Linked DNA regions of Drosophila melanogaster. The protein of the gene in region 1 interacts with the protein of each later gene in a pairwise test. Each region holds a gene or a part of one and is shown on either strand. Other genes may lie near its edges.

Region 1 (7,855 bases):
ATTTGACATCGCAGGCAATACATTAATTATACCCTTGACAGAAATCCACCATTTTTAGTTCTGGGTATAAACATATTTTTTTCTGGTTTCTTGAAGAAGCAAGTTTTTATTGTTTTCAATAATTAGATTTCTTTGAATCCGAAAAATCGTTTCTTCTAATTGTTGGATTTTTCTGCGTTTTGTTTTTGTTTTCTCAGATACATCTATATGATTTCTCGGTTTTGCACAAATAATTATTTATAGTATATTTATATATAGGTATATTTTTTGCCGTTGCTCTTAAATAAACAATTACAAATAAATTTGCAGCATTTTTCTACTATGTAAACCGTAAAAGTAAATTATATTTTGAACTTAAAGCCAACTTAAATTTGTAAGCATTTTGAAAGGTATTTGTTTTTGTTGAAGATCCTTTCGCGAAAAAGAACACAAAACAGGAATTGTGTAAAGTGAATATGGTTAAAAGAAGCAAACTGTTATCGTTAAAACTACCTCAATTATGATAAAAAGCATGTTGCACTCCTCTCCAAGTAATTCTCATTAACAAACTTCTCTTTGTGAGTACAAGTTTTCTTAGATGTTGAAATACTTCCTTGCTTATATAAATTTTCCAGTGAATTTAGCTATTATTATGCATACATTTTGCAAACACTAAAACACATCAACGTCATTGAATTTTTTTCAAGTGAGTGCGAGTGCTCGGGTACATTTGTGGATGGAAAAACATTTCTGCGCCACATGGTACACATGGTATTAGCCGTCGAATGAAATACAGTTTACCATTGTAAATACGTTCCATTCTCATCGAATTCTACGACAAATTCAAGTTAGGATGCCCGTTTGCTTAGCGAGCCAATGCTGGTTTATAAAGGAGGGCGGCATTAACTTTAAACGATAATCGTATGTATGTATTTTTTGGGCATTTTGTTTATGTACTTTGTATAGTAGGTAGGTAGTTAGTTTAGTTAGAAGGTCGTACAATTAAATAAATAATTCGTTTTCGCCAGTTTCATTCAGTTTTAAAATACAATATGTTCATTTTACGCTGACACAGAAAGCGTCTGGAAAATAAACTTCCGCGGAGGTGGCCGAGACTGCTCGTGTATGGGCGTGTTGTGTGGGTATGTGATTTAATATATTAGCTTTATTTATGTTTAAATTGAGAAGTAAGCAGAACCCTTGCCGATTCTTCCTTAATTTAACGACATTCCCAGACCTTTACTGTTTGATCTACGCTACCGCTAATTACGTACGGATGCGCTTTGTGAAAATCTGCAAGAAAACGGATGACAATTAAAATATATAGTTCATACACACAATGCCTTGTGTGGACCCACCTATGGAGGTGCAGAAATGCTGATGCGCGTATAGCGTCTTCATGCATCGCTTGTTGCGCAAGTCCCACACCCGAATGGTCTTGTCATCGCTGGCCGACACCAAGTATTTGCCACCAGGATGGAATGCCAGGCCACGCACCCAATTGTCATGGCCACTCAGGGTAAGCAGGCACAGGCCGACGCTCACGTCCCAAATGCGAATGGTTTTGTCGCGAGAGCCGGAGGCCAGGAACGGGCCCTGGTGATGGCCCTTCTTGTTGTCTGCTCCGGCTGCCTCGTTTATCGCAGAGGCTGCGGCTTCCGGCGCCCAGGCAATGCACTCCACAGTATGCTCATGATCGCGTAATTCAACCTGCAGAAGAATCAAACCGTCGTTAGACTCTTCATTGCCAGCAGAAGCTGCACATGGCAATGCTCACCTTGCAGTCTTTTGAATTCGTCAACCAAACACGTATTGTCTGATCATTTGAGCATGTGGCAAAGATGCTGCCTTCGATGTGCACTCGCACCATTCGCACCCACTCTCGATGGCCTGTGTAGGTTTTCACACAGTAGCTGAGGATGAGAAGTCACATGTTGGTCATATTATCCCTTAAACGAAATGTCCTTTTTCTTTAACTCACCCTGTGGCCACCTCCCACATTTTAATAGTGCGGTCCCGGGATGCAGAGAGTACATAATCTCCGGCCGGCACAAAGGCCACCGACGAGACATTGTGATCGTGACCATGCATAGTTTTGATACACTCGTAGCTCTGCTGGAAATCCCACAATTTGATGGATAAGTCCGCGCTGCAGGAGGCTGTTGCAATTAAAGCAAAATTAAATTGGTTTTACTATATATTCAACTATGGCAAGATCTTACCCAAAAGCTTGCCCTGGGCATCAAATGCGACATCCTGCACAGAGTCCGTGTGTCCCTTCAGGCTGCGTTCGTACTCGCCAGTTTCGAAGTCCCAAATCCTAATGGTGGCGTCTTCGGATGCGGAAACCATAAGAGCAAAGATGGGGTGGAAAATTACCTGCAATTATAAAATGTAAATGTAAAATGTTTATTAATTTGTTAACTTCTCAACTTACCCTCGTTATGCTGGCACGATGACCGGTCAGGGAGAACTTCTCTGGCGGCCGAGGTATCCACTCGCCAGGCGTCCGTTTGTTCTTTGTGGGCGCCCCCTCGATGACCTCCTTCTCAGCTTCAGTGAGCTTAGCCTCTAGTTCCATCACTTTCTTCTGCAGCCGAATCACGGACGTCCACTTCTTTTCCAACAGTCCGCCAAATTTCTTTTCCACTTCTGTGCTGAGATCGGCCTCCTTGCGGAAGGTCTCCAATGAGTCGGCGTAGCCATTTGAGCCCAGATAATCGGCAATCGCTTGGTTACTGATGGCGATACAATTAAAAGGATTAGTTCATGGGGTAATAGTTATATAAGACGACTGGGACTTACAGCTCCTCGCGCTGCCGCTGCGACAACACCATTTTCATACTGTTTTCCGATTTGGCTTGTTTTGCTTCTCTCGTTCGCAATTCGGTTATCCGCCTTCAACTCTTGCAATTCTGCAATGGAAAAGGTAGACATTCAATATGTGTACAGCAGTTCTTACCACAGTCAGATACAAGATATATTTCCTATATACATATCTTGCAAACCATTTCGTTAGACAGAGTTATGTATAATTTTTGGTTCATCTATCGAACTTCTACTGTATAATCATATGATGATTTGATGTACCTGGGACAGGAAATTGGTTTCGCAAAACCTAAATGCCAAAAATGCCAGCAAGTTTCGTTTGAGTTCTCATGGAGGGCAGGCGAGTCACCCACATTTTCTTGAATTTTTTTGGCAGCAGTATTTCTGTTTCCTATGCTCACCTTTCGTCTAGTCATTATATTGTTTCATTCTCCCAAAGCGGAGCATCATCATTATCATCGTGTCTTTGGTTTCTGGCACACATTTTTGTGTTGCCCGTGCCTCGAATAAGTGGGCAAAAAAAAAATAATAATCGAAACTTTGGCAATGCTTGAAGCGAAGCAGCAGCAGCATTTGGTAACCCCTGCAATCGAACTGCACTCGTCATCGGTGAGTTCAAGGGTCGATTTCACATGGAATTAGGCAGAAATCATATGGGTGCGCTATTTGTTTGTTTAGTGCCCATGTTTTTTTGACTGCAAAACCTTTTTAATCAACTCAAGGTGGCCAAATCATGGGTATAGCACGCAATATAACAACAGCAATCGGAAACAAATAGCTAACGCATATCTCGCGTACTTGATAACGATGGACAACTGACGCGTTGCCAACGAATATACTAGCGAAGGAAAATCCACGACAAGGCAAAGCCAATTAGCCAGACTTAACGGTAGTTCAAGCAACTTCTTATAGGTAAATAAGGCTGCGAAAGAGCGTGCGAGCGAAGAAGCAGAACAAACACGGGCACCAGAGGTGCAATTGATAGCATAAAAACTAATTCAGCTGTTTCTTTTATTTGTGCTAAATAGTTATTGGCTATATGATCATTAAATTAATAGGTGTTATGAAAACATAAACAAGACCTAAATATCTCGAATTCATTACTAATTTCATGGCCCCACCTGTGAGAGACACGCTCACACATCACGGTCTAGGAAATGACGTTTCCAAATTATTTTTGGCCAAATGATATTTAACGATTTTTTTGAACTAGCAAATATGGCAAAAAAAAAAGACAAGCAAAAACTGACCAAACGGGTTCACAGCCGAATCCGATTCGAAACGGCCACTCAATATAGCCGTGAGTCATTCGGCTGGACGCGACTTGAACTACTCCTATAGGGCTTATCAGCTGTATTCGAGCACTTGGCGCTCATCATTTGAATATTGTGGGTGGATGTTTGGCTGCGCTCTAACTGCGCATCTAAATATATCCCAGGAAAATCGATGAAAAGCGTTGCGAGCGTCACGGGTATTAATGGAAAAGTGGAGCGTGGGCAGCAAAGTGGGGTTAAGATAGTGGGGGGTCCCTTAAACCATCGAACGAAGTCAACACTGTTTGTGTTGTGGCAACCAGGCATTCCGAAACACAAAGCCATGCGCATTGTAACCGTAAAGCTGTGGGTGTGTGCCATATGGGGGAATGAAAACAATGGGAAGGGGGCGTTTGGGTCGCACGCCACACCAGAAATGTTACTAAATCAGTAAAAATCATATGGGATTCTCATTGTTGCACTTGCTCAAGTTAATTTAATATTTGAATTTTAAATGGTTTTGGGTGGGCGTGAGAGCGAGATAGTTGGCAAGGGGCATAGACCAGGGCTGCAACGAACACACACACACACACAGTAAGGTCTTGAATTTTAAGGATCTTTCTCTTCCTCTCACTCCCCCTTTCGTTTGAATTCGCTTGCTTATTCTCTCTCTCCCGCTCTGGCAAACAGACCTTGCACTTGCCTTTGCTTGTTTATTTGCGTGTTTCATTGATTAGCACACACTCACACACGCGCCGGCGAGCAAATGCAATTGCAATTTCAAGTGCAAAAAGAGAGAGGAAAAAGGAAAACAATAGCCAAAAAAGCTTTGAACTCCAGCTTTAACCCCACGACGGGCATCGAATGCAGGGACTAACCGTTAAGTGCCGAGACTTTTTGCTTTGCCTTTCTTTAACCCACTGCTGGAAACGTGCAAAAAGCTCGTCACTAGATAATAGAAACAATTTGCAGTGTCAGGAGCGCTTTCCACACATTCTGGGAAATCGCAACGGGTCTTGAATATCTAAAAGAATGCCGCAGCAAAAAAGCCCAAAACGGAAAACTGTAAAAAAAAAACAAAAACAACTACACAAGCACAACGAAGAAAATAAAACGAGATTTCTTGTGCATTGGCAGAACTGGTTTGCCCAGTAATAGGTGTTGTTGGCCTATGGGGGAACGGGAAGTACATATATGCAAGGAATCGGCCAGTTCGGGGACTCGACTTGGCTAAAAATCGATCAATTCTACTTTTGGCGAGGGGGAGGACTCCAAACATGCGCGAAAATCCACAGACATCGTCACTCGCACACACACACACACTCGCGCACGCACACCAACGCACTCGATGTGTCATCGCTTTCTGGTGGTTGTAAATAAAATGTAATCATAGTTCGTTTCTCCACTTATTTACTGATCGTCTTTTTGTTCAACACACTACTTTTTTTGTGCATAATTTGCATAACTCTTTCGCTTGTTTTTTCATTCTCTTTTCAATAACAAACACAATAACAACAACAGTTTGAACGAAAATACTGTTACGACGGCCATCTTGGATAGAGAGAGGGGGCCAAGAGAAAGAAATGTCCCAAAGGCAATATGCATAATGGGGAAAAAGGACAAATATCCAAGCGCACATATAGTATATTATATTTTCCGACTCCAACCGACATGCTTGGTACATAATGCGCGAACTAACACTTTGCCATTGGCAGTTTTGTACATATGACGTTTTTTTTTCTTCATTTCTCCCAATAGCCCATTACACGGGTTGGTTGCGAAAAATCCATTTTGCTTGGGTGTTCTATTTACAACGCGGCGACTCGGTGTTTGTTCTTATTATGCAGCGAACGTTACTTACAACAATTTAGTATTTCATATATTTATAATTACGCTTATTTATTTATGTTTAATCGAAATATACGAAAAGAATTACGCAGAAAAGTGACGAGCGGACGAAAATGCTTCGATTAGTGTGACCGCAGTGGAAGCAGCTCAAAAAACATCACGGGACTATCGATGACAGCGATTAGCTATCGATGTGACTAGGAATGTAGAAAAATGTTAATAAAAATATGTATAATAACTTCTAAATACTTTTTATATCTTATATAAGACCTAAGGACTGAAACCATTGAGTAAAGAACGAGTTGCCATAACTTAAGCCCTACTTCCATGCAAGCGCAGTGTGAACAGCTTAAAAAATTGGCGCGCTATTTAAAATGCTGATAAGGAAATGGACCTTCGTCAGCTTTTTTTTTGCGGAACCACAACGCCTATCCGTGAGTGAACAAAATGGGTTTCCAATTATTTATGCCATATAAGTATTGCTATTTATTTATAACACATCCCAATTCGATAGTCAACACTGCAGTTTGCTAATTGTAAACCGACTTTGTTGTTATCTTACACACACATTCGCGATGGGAGTAAACTTTCCTTATCACCGCTCACACAGCGCCAGAACACAACACAACCGATTTATGGAGTGCTCCCTTTGGCGCTCAGTATTCGAGAATCGCTCAGCGGAAACGGTTATTAGTTTACTGATTTTCGGGCGACACACACACATTCGTTATTCATAGTTGGTGCGCCCAAATATTCGCGAAACAGCAACAACAATTAGCAACCATCTGTCACCTGTGAGTGCAGCGTATCGTACACAATCTCAATCGCTCATTGGGAAAATTGCCGAATAATGTAAATCATTTGCCAAATTTGGGCACTCGTTGTGTGTTATCAGTGTTTGAGATTTAATCAGCCATTTTGTACGCATTACATTATATCGATATAGCCGCTATATCAGCCAATTCTATGGCTCTATAGATATATGTTAAATATGATTCAGTTTAGCAATGCTTGCTAATCCTGCGGTAGCCGATCCTCTTGGCCACATTAGCGTTTAACTGGCGAAATCGAAAGCCATTTATGAGCCAGCACCGTATGGCTGTTATCAGACCGACAACTCTGATGATTATATGCCGATGATAAAGGCCGCTTGTTCGTTTGTAAACGTTAAATTGTTATTATTGGCTTACTTGGTGTTTTGGAAAACCTCGGCGCGCTGCGATTTGTTTAAACAATCGGGCACAGACATTGGCAAATTGTCAACGTTCCATTGCCACACTTTCTGATAACCAAACCCATTAATAATGATCGGAAAGTGTCATTTTTTTTATTTGCTCCAAAGAAGAGCTGTCTTCTTCGCTTGCTTCCGTTGCCGGCAGCGACAACTGAAATTAGTAATTAGTGCTGCCAATTTGAGGGTACGGAATTCTTTCGATTAGCAAGCTCTTCGATGACGCACTCAGCATATCGGCAATATAGTCTATATATCTATATCTATATATCTATTGCTATACCCATTCCATTTGCGACTGCGTGATGGGATTGCAAACAGAGCCGCGATTCGAATTCGAGGATCGTCGTCGGCGATTCTCTGCGATTTTAGCGAATCTGTCGTTAATTTTGTTCGATTATTATTGGGTTGTCCAACAAGCCAGATTACTATCTGTATCTATATCTGCTGGCCACTTCTCCAGCCTGTGAAGTGGCTTGATAAGATTCTAGGGATCCAAAAAATCCAACAAAAAATTCAGAGAATATTGCGACATGACATTGCTGGAGTTTCCAACTTCATTCTCATGAATTTCCGCCGCATTAAAAGGCTTTGGGTGTAAGCCACGACATTGAGATAACCCCCTTTTTATTTTTTTTTTTTGGTATCTCGACCATTTCGTTTATTTTTTTACATTTTCCACTTACGTGTGGTATTTGTGAAATGATCATAAATC
Region 2 (4,982 bases), on another chromosome or scaffold:
ACAAAGGCGGTGCAAAAATTTTGCCGATACCGGCGTCGAGTAACTAACTACAATCGATCTTTACATTTTTGGCAGCTCTTCACAATTTCGTGATAAAATTACATTTTTTTTATGGTGTACGTGGCCCATTTGATATTTAGGCCAATAAGAAAATTTTATATTAGGTTGTAAATTTTTGGTAATACCAATAATACTGGGCCCTATTAAAAAATAAAAAAATGGCAGATAATTTAAAATGGCATTTGGGCACCACATATCCTATCAGTTTTTCTTTCTGTGCAGTCCCATTGCTCTCCCCCCGCACCAAACCACACGCATTTATGACTCAGTTGGGTGAAGTGTGAAAATGCCAAATGAGACGGCGAGCAGACAACTCGGAATCACGGCGTTGGATCCGGATAAGTGGAGCGCCCGCACACTTGTTGGGCTTCCAATGGGTTGCCCGCCCGGCTGATTGGATGCGGGTTGAATGCCCGGCTTTACAGTAACGATACGCACCGTCCTCGTTTGTGGCCACCGATGAGTTGCTGCCGGGATTATCGGCACCCTCGTCCACGGCGTCCACGGAATTGTAGCCATTGCCGTCGTCCTTGTTGATCAGGCTTTGTCGCTCTGGATCCGCCATTGTGGACTATCTTCCGATAAATGGATATTTATATGTGTGGACTATAATCTCTATATGCTGGAGCAATTCCCGTTAGGCTGCACTTCCAGTTGCCTTTGTTTTGTTGTTGCTGTTGCTGCGGGGGCTGCTGCAACGCGTTGATTTCAACTGGAAAATGAGTGGGAAATCCAATAGTTTAGTTGCTGTGCCACATAATTTCGGACGCAACGAGCTCTTTGTTCACGATTGCCGCAGTAGTTTGGTTTTTTTTTTCTTCGTTCGTCGCGGTTTTCACTCGCGTTGATTGAAACACATCCTCCCTTTTTTCACTTTTCGGCATGCGCCGCAATTAATCAATTCGATGATGCTGCATGTGCAACGCCCACGCGAGCTCGATTGTCGCACTCACACAGTTGACATTTGGTTATAATACTGGCAATTGCGTTAATTGTTTAACAATTGCTGGCCATAATTGTGCTATATTTTACCTTATTTTTGTTGAAAATGCACTGCAGTCGCTGCGATCTGGCCACACTCTGGCTAGCTATCTGGCAACGATGTCCCGTTTGAGATTTTTCAGTTGCGGCCCTGCCAGGGAGTTGCCACATCGTTGTACTTGGTAAAGAACCAGAAACAGATCAGCGAAAAATTGTTCATTTTTGGAACCAAAACAATCCAGCGCGGCTTAAAACAAATATGTCTAAAATCACGAAAAACTCCAATAAAATTGACAATAAGGATTCTGTAAGCGGGGAAGGCTCAAATAGTGGGGACGATAACACGTCCACAAGTTCAAGTGACTTTGAAACAAGCAGAAAACACAAACTACGCCGCAAATCCTGTCGAAATGTATCATATCATTATCATGCGCTGCCCATGCGCGTAGTTGGCGAAAATGTTGCAGCACTGCCACAAACTCCCAGCTCCACTCGTGATTTAACACTAAGCTCAGCTCAAATAATTGAAGATAGTTCCGACTCTGAGTTTCATATTTCGGACGATACCAGCAACGATGCGCCGGCCAACAAATCGATAACGTTCACAGCACGTCCATTAGAGAAATATGATTTGGAATATATAAGAAAACTACGTAAACGCAAAAAAAAGCCGAGTAAAACTTTATATGTTGATTAAATTTCAAATAACAACTGTTGACCAGGGCTGGAAACGGCAAATGCCCATCTATTGGCCAACACTGGCAACCCAAGCCAGGGTTGGCTTGTGCGTTTTTGGAGTAGTGGTAAATTTTTACGAGCATAACTATTTACACTGATTTTATGTAAATAAAACAAACAAAACGTAGCAAAATTAAGTGCAAAGTGTAAGTAGTAAATGTGGACAGTCGTGCTGTATAAAATTCTAGGTATAAACACTGGAATTCTACGAAAAAATCACCGATGATTTCATTTCCATGCAGTGCGTTGTTGTATGGGAAACTTCGTCGTAGCTATTTGTTGTTGTTGTTGTTGCTGCTGCTCATCACCATCATCCTCGTTGTTTTCGTTGTTGTTGCCGCAGCAGCTGCGTCACAAAAATGAGTTTTGTTTAATTTGATTTTATTTACATTTGATATGGACAAAACCGACTGCCCTTTTAGGGCATCGAACAAGAACAACAGCAACAGTAACTACAAAATTCAGGGCAAACACCTGTTCCTAATTGATTTTTCACTTTTCTTCGCCGACTTCTAGTCTATTCACCACCCCCAACACACAAAACAAAAAAAAAGTAAAACTACGACTTGAACAACAACTGTGTTTTGGCATTTTAATCACAGCAATTAAAAACAAAGCAGCCAAAAAACACGAATAAATAACCCAAACAGTAATAGACCAACCGTAGTACATAGCATTGTTCAGAAATTAAAAGTTAAATCAATTCGAACGAACGAAATTACAAACCCATTTTGACCGCCGATTAGTACACAAAAACCAGAAAAAGGAGTTAGCAGCTAAGGAAAATTTGCAGAAATGGAGTCGCCCCCGATGTTCAATAGTGTGGAAGATGAGTGCAGATATTGGAAGGAACGATCTAAGCAGTACCACAAAGAGTAAGTGCCCATCCCTATTACAGTCTCCGAAATCAGCCATATAGCCTAGTTTTACTTTTAATTTTCAGGTGGACAGACGTGAAACAGGAGTACGACGAGTTTGTGGAGCAGTCCCGCGAAATGGAAATAGAAATGGACGCCACTCTGGACCAGAAGCAGAGTATAATCAAAGATCTCACAGCCAAACTCACAATGTTTGAGCGGGAAAACGAGTCTCTCAAGGTAGCTATAAGCTAAGCCCGATTTACACAAACTGAGCTTAATTCTTAGACTCAGTTTGCGTATATGTGGCTTTGAGCTCCCGACAAGATTAGTCTTTACAACTATTTCATTCTCAGCTCAAGTTGGAATCGCATGGCATCGATATGTCAAACATGGAGAAACAGCTGGAAACGGTGAAGAAGGATCGCGACACCATGAAGGTGTACCTGCGGCAGCTGGAGCAGAAAAACGACGATTTGGAACGTGCCCATCGCATACTTAACGAAAGCATAGAGAATTTCGAGAAGATGCTGGATCAGGCCTACGAGAAGAACGCCCTTCTGGAGCTGGAAGTGGATGAAAAGGGATTGCTGCAGGAAAAACTACAGCGATTAATGGATGAGACGAGAGGTGGATGCATCTATACCAGATGTCCAGCACAGACTTTAAAACTAATTCATCAAATCTATTGCAGATCTCAAACAAGAGCTGAACGTCAAGTCACGCTTTACCCCAGTGGTCAATGGAACGAGCGTTCCCACGGCAAACGACACAAATACGGTCAACAGCTCGATGAACTCGTCCGCCTCGCTGCCAAATGGTATTGTTGCCAATGGCGAATTGGTAAAACACGACAATGCTGTCGCCACAAGAGCCACCAGCGTCAGCGTCAACGCCCTCAATGGCAGTTTAGTTAATAGAAACGAATATAACCAGCAGCATTCGCTTAAGAGTAAGATACTAAGTTCCCTAAAGAAAACCAGACGCGCGCTAAAACTGTCCAAGACGAATCGCCAAACGTTCAAGCCATGCATTTAGTATTGTTTTTCCATTTGTTTCTTTTTTACTTGTTAACCAAAAAATGTAGCCCGCTTAAGTTCCTCATAATTTGTAATTGTATTGTAAATTATTAAAATTAAGAGCCCAAATGTGACGAAAGAGTTTGCAACATTTCTTGTAGGCGATTTTTGTACGATTTGTGTTTGCGTCTGTAGCTAGTAGTTGACCTAACTAACCTCTCGACTAACATGCTGTGTACGTGTGCTTCCTCTTGCAGATCCCGAGAATCAAATCAATGGCAATTCCATGAACCCCAGCTCCCGCACAACGGCGCTCAACATTGTGGCCGACATGTTAAGAAAACTAAACGTAAGTCCCTCCGCAAACTATAAGTCCAGCATGCCATCCTACCTCATCCATTGTTTCGTATGTACATATGATCCTTGAACCCTTCACTCCCACCATCGGCTTATGTGTTTTTCCCTATGTTTTTAGTGGGACAAGGCACTGCTATGTCCCGAGTGCGAAAAGTTTCGCTGCATGTGTGAGCGCCCGGCAAGTGTGCAGCCGCCGCCGCCGCCATCGGCCAGCGAGGCAAGTCTTTTTCGCCGCGCCTTTGGCGGCAGCAGCAGCTCAGTGGCCACCAGTAGCGCCCAGTCCACGCCCACCAGCGATTGCAGCTCCGCCGGAAGCCTCAGTGCGGGCTCAAACATTTTTAGGCGCTTCGCCGAGCGCATGCGAAACTCGCCGGACGCCAGCCTGCCGCTCTGACAATGCGCTCGGAACTTTAAGGCTAATTTTAGTTGCCCTCCGCTTGCATTTATTAATTGCATTGGTTAATAAATACAAAATTTATTTGTACCTTATTTTATGTTCTTTGTTTTTGTTCGTTATGATTTATTCAGTTTCGAAAGCGCATAATAACTTGGCTTGCTGACTAAACTCTGCACTGGGCAAACCGTTGCGAAATGAAATTTTCATTAATTTATTTATTATATGATGTGCCCAAATCCTTCTATAGTTAATTTTTCATATAGTTCACTGACTGTTGCTTAATCCGCTCTCGTTTTGTGTTTTTTTTTTAGGCGATGGAGACGAAACTGAAGACGTACCGCGAGAATGGTCAGCCAATGCCGCAGCGACACCGCTCCTCCCAGCAATCCACACATCCGGCGCTGGCCGGACTGCCTTGCTTCTCGCTGGATGCCGAGTAGTGTGGATTCTGCAGTTCAGCGTGATCCACAAACCCCAAATCCGAAACCCAATCACCTAGGGCGGGATACTGTTCAGTTGGCTTTACGTTTACGTTACGTTACTTTAATGTTACTGTTCGCATTAATTAAGTTT

What was found.
Region 2: the proteins of Lis-1 (region 1) and nudE interact in a two-hybrid assay, tested with the Drosophila melanogaster proteins (one study listed by BioGRID).

Annotation. Positions count from the first base shown.
Region 1 is NT_033778.4:16,177,020-16,184,874, reverse strand, and holds the start of Lis-1 (Lissencephaly-1), read right to left. Parts: upstream 6,050-7,855; 5' UTR 5,923-6,049; intron 5,543-5,922; exon of another isoform or gene 5,503-5,542; intron 3,627-5,502; exon of another isoform or gene 3,070-3,626; intron 2,895-3,069; 5' UTR 2,823-2,894; coding exon 2,785-2,822; intron 2,718-2,784; coding exon 2,417-2,717; intron 2,359-2,416; coding exon 2,202-2,358; intron 2,139-2,201; coding exon 1,961-2,138; intron 1,893-1,960; coding exon 1,757-1,892; intron 1,690-1,756; coding exon 1,338-1,689; intron 1,273-1,337; coding exon 1,199-1,272; 3' UTR 1-1,198. UniProt on the Drosophila melanogaster protein: Positively regulates the activity of the minus-end directed microtubule motor protein dynein. May enhance dynein-mediated microtubule sliding by targeting dynein to the microtubule plus end.
Region 2 is NT_037436.4:9,897,431-9,902,412, forward strand, and holds nudE (nudE), read left to right. Parts: upstream 1-1,810; 5' UTR 1,811-1,925; exon of another isoform or gene 1,926-1,957; intron 1,958-2,295; 5' UTR 2,296-2,574; coding exon 2,575-2,654; intron 2,655-2,722; coding exon 2,723-2,876; intron 2,877-2,992; coding exon 2,993-3,266; intron 3,267-3,330; coding exon 3,331-3,588; coding exon of another isoform or gene 3,589-3,674; exon of another isoform or gene 3,675-3,767; intron 3,768-3,912; coding exon 3,913-4,004; intron 4,005-4,130; coding exon 4,131-4,406; 3' UTR 4,407-4,482; downstream 4,483-4,982. Other genes in the region: CG6707 (uncharacterized protein), read right to left, coding at 499-625; CG46387 (uncharacterized protein), read left to right, coding at 1,301-1,738. UniProt on the Drosophila melanogaster protein: Chaperone protein with functions in nuclear localization. Required for centrosome duplication and formation and function of the mitotic spindle.